Styela clava: one gene and its partner. The protein of the gene in region 1 purifies or fractionates together with the protein of each later gene. This does not show direct contact. Links are inferred from orthologs where the notes say so. Each region holds a gene or a part of one and is shown on either strand. Other genes may lie near its edges.

What was found.
Region 2: the proteins of intraflagellar transport protein 140 homolog (region 1) and intraflagellar transport protein 43 homolog purify together in Homo sapiens (affinity purification with mass spectrometry; 3 studies listed by BioGRID and IntAct, counting the BioPlex papers as one, with this or other methods). This does not show direct contact. The link is inferred for Styela clava from reciprocal best matches to the Homo sapiens genes IFT140 and IFT43.

Annotation. Positions count from the first base shown.
Region 1 is NC_135262.1:5,589,833-5,593,766, forward strand, and holds the start of intraflagellar transport protein 140 homolog, read left to right. Parts: upstream 1-1,162; 5' UTR 1,163-1,173; coding exon 1,174-1,320; intron 1,321-1,855; coding exon 1,856-1,961; intron 1,962-2,170; coding exon 2,171-2,292; intron 2,293-3,013; coding exon 3,014-3,147; intron 3,148-3,732; coding exon 3,733-3,878; intron 3,879-3,934. UniProt on the Homo sapiens protein: Component of the IFT complex A (IFT-A), a complex required for retrograde ciliary transport and entry into cilia of G protein-coupled receptors (GPCRs).
Region 2 is NC_135254.1:1,980,678-1,984,611, forward strand, and holds intraflagellar transport protein 43 homolog, read left to right. Parts: upstream 1-1,124; 5' UTR 1,125-1,159; coding exon 1,160-1,501; intron 1,502-2,642; coding exon 2,643-2,918; 3' UTR 2,919-3,490; downstream 3,491-3,934. UniProt on the Homo sapiens protein: As a component of IFT complex A (IFT-A), a complex required for retrograde ciliary transport and entry into cilia of G protein-coupled receptors (GPCRs), it is involved in ciliogenesis.

The DNA of each region.
Region 1 (3,934 bases):
TTTGTTGTTGTTGGGGCGGTGGGGTCTGCCAGTCGTTGAGCTGGTGAAGATGATCCTTTTGGTGCGTCCGTGACGTTTTGATGCGAGGGTATGGTTATTGGAGATAGCCCGGATTTTTAGTACGATGTAAGAATGACTATACTGGATTGATTTTAAAAATTCAGTGATGGCATAGATACCCGCACAATTTTCTCACTTTCAGACTTTCCGTACTGACTCAGGCGTAATTTCTGGAAAAGTAAATGTTTTGTAAAAAGGATTGTGTTTGTTCATTTCATTTTGCGCCATAAAAGTCTGAAAGTACCACACACACCGGTTAGTCTGTTAGTATTTGAGCATATCCTTAGGTCTTGAGATTTTACGGTACATGTTTTACAATCTTTTTTTTTTTTATTTGAGTTGCTTGAAAAAGGTTCAGAACCACTGGTCGGGTCTCGTGTAGTTTCTTACCTAACATACTTTCAGTGGGCGTAGCATCACAATTTTTCGACATGTCAATCCTAACCCCCACCAGACTATGCCATCCAAAAATTACATCACTACAACATCACAATCACGTCATAGAGCTTGTTAAATATACGTACTATCGCCCGAAATGGCATCGGCGCCGACGATAAAGAACTTACTAACGTCAGCGATCTCTCTTATATTGGAATCGTCGCGATGTAAAAACGAGAGAAATAGCCGCTCGATTTCGGGTGCGCAGACGTGCGCGTCTTGGATGACAGTTCGTATAGTTTGAAGGTCTCTATTACGTCACTGTGACGTCCTATGGACGTAATATTTGGATGGCGTAATCAGGTGGGGGTTAGGATTGACACATGAAAAAATTGTTGTACTACGCCCGCTAGAAGTATGTTAGGTAGGAAACTACATGACACCCCACTGGTCTATGTCTTAATAAAAATAAAATAATAGAAATAACGAATAGTTCCTATTTAATTTAATACTGAACTAGGTATTTCAAAATAACCACACTGTTAGGAATTAGGATATTATTTTAAAGTATTTCTGTATTTGGTTGGCTGACTGTCGGACTGTATATGGTATTGTGATATTCCAGTATTTAAAAGATACCCCTGATTTGCAGAATTTGAGCATTTTATATTGATGAAATTTGTTTAAAAACATTCAAATTCTTTGATTTTCATAAAACTTTAGATTTATAATATTATGGCTCTTTATTTTGACCGGGCATTAAACACACCTTCTGGAAATGTAACTGTTCATTCGGCTTGGCAGAAAGTATCAGGTCATTTTGCAGTATGTTCTGCATCTCCTGGGGCCGGTGCTGGCTTCGTGGATATATTCAATGCAGAGGTGAGAGTTTTTGATGCCTATCTTTGAGACAATATATATCAATGTATAGCATAATTTTAATCTTTTCAAATTTTCACATTTTTTTTACCCAGGTTCATAATCCAAAATGGAATTGATATGTGCATTTCCAATCTTGATATTCTTGTATATTTTGATAACGAGGGATGCGATCAACTTCGTCCCTCAGGTTAAAAAAAATTTGGCTCAGACATAAAATATTCTAACTCTCAACTCTTTTTTAGAAAAAATAGAAAATCCAATTCTGATATCAAAAACTCTGGTTATGCAAGCTGTTAATAGACTGATAAGAAAAGGAAACTGGCTCCAATTTTGGTGAAACATACTAAAGCCAGTCTCCAGGCTCTGAATCCATATCTCTGACGGTAACTTTGACTGAGTCTGGACTTCATTATATATTAACTGAATCCATCTCCTTTTAACCATATATTCCACAATATATTGAGATATATTGTTTCAAAATCCACCCTACCCAAATATAAAAAGTTTTTATTTCAATATTTTGTTCAAATTATAGGGAGAAAAGAAAACATCAAAAGAGCACGCAATTCAAAGATCGTGTCAACCAACTATATGTTCCTGGCATCCAATTAAAAATATACTTGCAGTTGGTTGGGAAAATGGTAATATTATTCATATTTTTATATCCTTTCTTAAAATAACTTAATATATTTGTATAAAACAGTGAAGAAAAAGTGCTGGCAGTCGAAGTCATTTTTAAATCATCATATCGATGGAGATAAAACTGTTAAATATTCAAAAATGTAGATGCTGAGAAAGTATTTTTGACCAAATTTTTGATGATAAAAACATTGATTTTTGCAATCATCAGGTGAACTTGTGATTTATAATGGACACAATGATGAGACGCATGAAGTACCTACACTGCATACTCAAGCTATCACTTCAATATGCTGGTCAACTAATGGTTCAAGACTGGCATCTGGTGACAAGGTAGCTTGACAATATATAAAGAGTTGTGTATATTACTGAATGTAATAGTTGATTTTTTCTTCAAAAACAACAAGTTGTTTTTATTTCTTATAATATACCAATAATAATTTGTTTTCTTATAGTACGACACATATAAGAAAATATTACTAAACTTAAAATATATGTGTTCAAAAATTCATATATTTTCTTATTAAGTTACTTGAAAACATGAGAGGTATAATGTTCAACATTGTGGAAATTTGGGAAATTGCTTTATTACTTCCTTTATTGGCTTGTTGGTTGAAAGCAGTAATAAGAAATTGGTCAATTGATTTCCCTCTTCAGTCCATCTTTCAATTTGATCATTTAATGTAGACTTTTCACAGCATCTATTTTGTATTGTATAATTCAGAATCTTTGGAATTACATTAGTCATATTCTTAGGCAAAACTGTTAAATTGAGTTGCATTTTAGTGACAAGATTATATGTATGTAATGTGCCAATATGTATATCCCTATCACATATTGAATTTTATCGTATTATCGATTTAAGTTCAAAGTCTGTTGATAGTAATGATTGAAAATTGAAAAACTCTCCTACAGGCGAAATTCCAGTCAAAACGGTGCTAGCAAATGATGGGACAATGTTGCTTGCATACTTTCTTCATTGTCATCGATCTTTTATAATATTGTACTTGCAAAAAAAAGTTAGTACCGTAGGTATGTGTATATTCAATTTTAGGTTGGTGTAGCAGCTGTGTGGCGAGCTGATGATCGTGGAAGAATTCAACACAATCCTGTTTGTAGGTTTGAAATTGGAGCTGAAGTCACTCAATGTATAACACCAACATCATCTAGCAATGAAAACATCATGAGGTGGACAGTGGGATTGAATTTTGTTATTTTACAGTTTGCCTAAATACTGCAGTAGTTTCATTTCTAATTTTAAAGATATTTGGATTAATTCAATGCTTTTTTAAACCATGAGTAGTAATTTTCACGCTATAGTAGCACCAAGTGAAGTAAAATGATATAATGTTATCTTGTGGGACAATAGTATACTAAATTTTTTAGTTGGAAAGTGGTAGAAATTGTCCGGTGTTCGATCGGAGATATTGGTGTGGTATAAAAAGGATACTCGATTTGAACCTACCGGTACTTAGTTAAACGAGTATTCAACCCAAGTCTTCCACATCACCCAATATGAAAGACATGCCGAACTGGGAAGTTCTGCCCATTTTACACCTCTTGTAACTTATAGGTCCAAGTGGCTACTGATATAGTACTTTGTTTTGAGTAAAATTGTGAATTATTTCATCTGTTATTTTTGTATTCTTATAAAATACTACTGGAATACTGACAAAAGTCATGAGGTATGGTAGCTAAATGCTCCCCTATATTCATATACTTCATTGAATGAGATATCAATCATACAAACTATTGTATTATCTATTTTAATAGCAAAATTGCAAGTCTTGCTCGTGCGGCTGTAAGTGGTGATGAGAAAGCACTCGACCTTTTTGCAACTTTGGATACGAAGAAAGGTTCAAAACTACAAATGCCAAGTGTTGCCGACGGACTTTCTTTTTACTTTGGAGCAAAAAATGGTGAATATTGAATACATTTTTAGCAAATTTTCAATACAGGATATCTATTATTGAGT
Region 2 (3,934 bases), on another chromosome or scaffold:
GCTGATGCCGGTTTATATTTTGTAAAATACACAAACAAATGGCTCGATGGTGTGTCACGTCGTGCTAAGCGCTGGAATACGCTCGTCTGTGTGCTTTATTTAAAAAATTGAAAATACGGTGTACATAATAAATAAATAGGTAAACAATAAAGAAATATAAATATCCCAAAAAAGCGGGCGGATAGGATTTACATATTTATCCCGGGGAGAGGAAAGCCGATAAGACGGCTTATCCATATGGCGAACCACGGCCTCTCGCCCGGTTACCATTCCAAGTCGGGTATGGGATTAGATTTACTATATTGTTTGTTTCGGAAGCATGGACTTGGTGGTGGAGGAAGCCGTAACCGACCAGCGGTTACGTGAACCACCCAACGACGGCAAGGAGTCCAGCAATCCTCTCGTACATAACCATCCCTGCATGGGGTTCGAACTGCGAACCCACGCAGAGTAGTTAGAGGTGCGGTGGCGAGCGTATTCCTAACGTTGAGCCACACCGCCGCGCCAAATAATCGCACTGAAAAGTTTGATAGTGATAGGATTTTGAGACATTTCTCATCGTTATTAATAATAAAGTAAAACATAACAATAATGGTTCTTAATAAAAATAATTGATGTGGCTATACCATCCGAAAGAAACAACTCTAAAAAATATTTGAAAAACTCTCAAAATACAAAGATCTAGAGATCGAGATACAAAAGATGTGGGGACTCAAAACTTCAACAATACCGGTAGTGGTGGGGGCGGTTGGACTTATCGGAAGAGAATTTGAAAAATATGTCTAATATATTTCAGGAAAAATTAATGCAGAACAGCTCCAAAAAAACGTTCTTCTTGGAACAGCTCACATCTTACGTAAAGTACTTTCTATCAATTGATGACCTCAGGAACTTGAAAAGTTCCCGGTCGCCAGAAGGTTAAAATATTAACATAAAAAAGAAACTAAGAAATAATTATTTTCCGCAACCACCTGCTGTTATAAGTGCATACAACATGTCACGATTTGTAGGGTCTCCTGAAATGAGGGAACCTGTTGTTAGTGAGTTCTAGACAAAAGCGAACCCGTTCTAAAAATTTTGCCCACTACTTATAAGCTTCATGTTTTGTATTTCTGAACAGACTTTATACCTTAAAATTTTAAATATTTAAAATATAAAAATGGATTTTGATTTCGGCATCGGCAAAAAGAGTCAAGCAAAAACTGGGCGTAGAGCGAAGTCGACTAAATCTAATGCATCACTGAACACAAACGAAAAAGAAAGTGTAGTTCCGAAAGAAATCGCTCCAAAATCTCAACTCAAAGAAATTGGGGCTGATTCCCCTCCCCGGCCGTCAAGACGAATGGCGGGCTGGGGGGATGCCGATAATAAACGTGACCGTAATAAGGGGGTGGAGGATTCTAGATTGTTAGTAACAGGGGATTCCCCTAGAACACGAATTCACTCCTCAGACGAAGAAGGCGATGATCTCCAAGTAATACCTGATTTGGACGATGTTCAGGTAACCCAGTTTTTAATGGTGTGGTTTTAATATTAGGGAAGTGATTTTCAACTTTCATGGAACCCCTTGATAAGCGATTGGGGCCCATGACATCTTGATATGCTATTGGGGCTTATCACGGTGCCCCTGTTAACAATTACGATATTGTATTTTTTGTATAAATCCCCCACCAATAATACGAAAATGTGAGATTTGAGAAAAACACCTTATCCATGTTTTCAAATAACAAATTAGTAATTATCGAGTTGGTGTTAGGAATAATTCAAATTTTCTGCACAATCTGCACTCCTAGCCCCGACTGGATAATTAGTAAGTTTTTATTTGAGCATTGGCCGGTTGTTTGTTACTCATAGATCTTGAGATCGGTTAGTATGTTGATAGGTATTTGTGTGTTTGTCTGTTAGACACTTTGTATGTTACGCGATATCTCTCGAAAGCAGAGTTGAATCTCCTCCATATTTTGCATGTGCATTCGTCATATCTCGGACTAGAAGCCTATTGATTTTGGATGAATTCTGCCGTGTAATTAGCGAGTTATTAATTAATTAGTGGGACACGTGGTGTCACTATAGAGTCATGAATTGAAACTGCAGTTTCGATCGATAAGTCTTCGGTCTCCGACCGATATTCTCGTTTTGACTTTGTACAAAATATCCTTATTACTTAAAAACACTTATAAATGTATGAAAGTTTAAATATTTAAAAACGTGGGGTTATCACAAATGTTGAAACGTCAGGGGTTCAATGATGACCCCTTCGCTGCCCCATTTCTCTCATTCTTTTAATTCATTGCATGATGTTGCTCAATGCAATATCACCGACATAGCAAATTTTTGAAATGAAACAACCCCAGCGAATTTTTGAAATGAAACAACCCCCCAGACAATGAATGAAAAATGAAATCATGTCTACTACTGAATACAGACACACATTTTCAGGGCATAATAATATCTATGACATCATAAACTTTCACCTCTCTCTAGATGAAATCCTGGGTATGCCACTGAAAGCAGCCACCAACTTTTTTATGACATGGCATATTATTATGACATCACAATATTTCTGATTTTTACCCCCCATTCATCCACCTCAAAAAAACTTTGGGTTTAGCCAGCCACTAACATTTTCATAATTTCCACAGAATGAAGATATCGCACAACAAATGGCTGCCCCACCTTCAGTTGCGATGAATCAAGTCGCTACGTATCGTGAACTTGACAGTGACCTTCAACGACATTCGACCTTCACACTTCTAGACAATGAAATCGATCTCAAACTTCTTGCGAAACACATGACAACTGGCATCGACGAACCAGACGAGACATGGGATTGGGATATATTATTCGCACAAATATCAGGAGCCTTAAGACAGAAAAATAATTCCTCAACAACAGCGACTAATGATAAACTGATTTAATGCTTAGTCATGGTTGGTGATTTGTTTGCTGAGTTACTTTGAAACGTGCTTAGTCATCTTCAGTAATAAAAATAGTCTCGAATGTATTTTTACTTAAAGAGCAGTGGTTTTCAACCCATATCTCTCTCACCCACCCCTTCACCCCCAAATATTTTTTTTGATTTTCTTTTTGTTAAATGCCTATAATGTAACACTTCTTTTTTAATGAACGGGTTAAAAATTACGGGTTCCTGATTTCTTGACCTTCATGTGTGGAAACTCTGATTCCGAAGCATATAAAACACTTTATAATGATACGTCAACTATTTTTTAAGGAATCCCACTCTCAGTTATATTTACGGAATAGAATTGTATCAGTTCCCCACGAGCCTTGGCCTATGACGATGGGGTTTCAGAAATTTCATATTTTTTCGCTTTGGGATTTTTTAATTCGTTGTGTAAATGGAAACACTGAATTTTTGTTGAGCCCAGATTAGAACTAAGATCTGAAGCCCGGGTCGGACCTGTCAATCATTACGTTTGGGTCGGGCTTCTCTACCGCTGACTTTTTTTTAAGTGAGGCGTTTTGGCCACGAGAGACAATGGTCTGTAAAAAACCTCATCAACACGACACATACTGTTCTAAATGAACTCTCGCAATGACAATTCAAAGAACTCCTAAATATGAAATTTTTGGCTCGGGCCTGCAAATTTAGTCACCGTAATTAGTCGGGGTCGGGTCAGGTTCAATACCCACGGGCCTGGGTCAGGTCAGGCTGGAATTTTGGGACCCAATCTTACCTCTAGTCCAGCTAGATGTCTGAAATTAGTTATATTGCCCGCCAAAAAAATGTTGCACCCCCGGTCTATATAAACTGGTGAAAGAACGAGAAGCCATGGAAAAGGATGACTCATCAACTTTCCTCTCCTACTGTAGTAAAATGAAAATCCTATCCTAACCTCCAGTCTAAACAGAGTCTGAATTTTTATAGCTTACTAAAAAAGTGTTTCATATTCAATGGATTTCAAACAGCGTG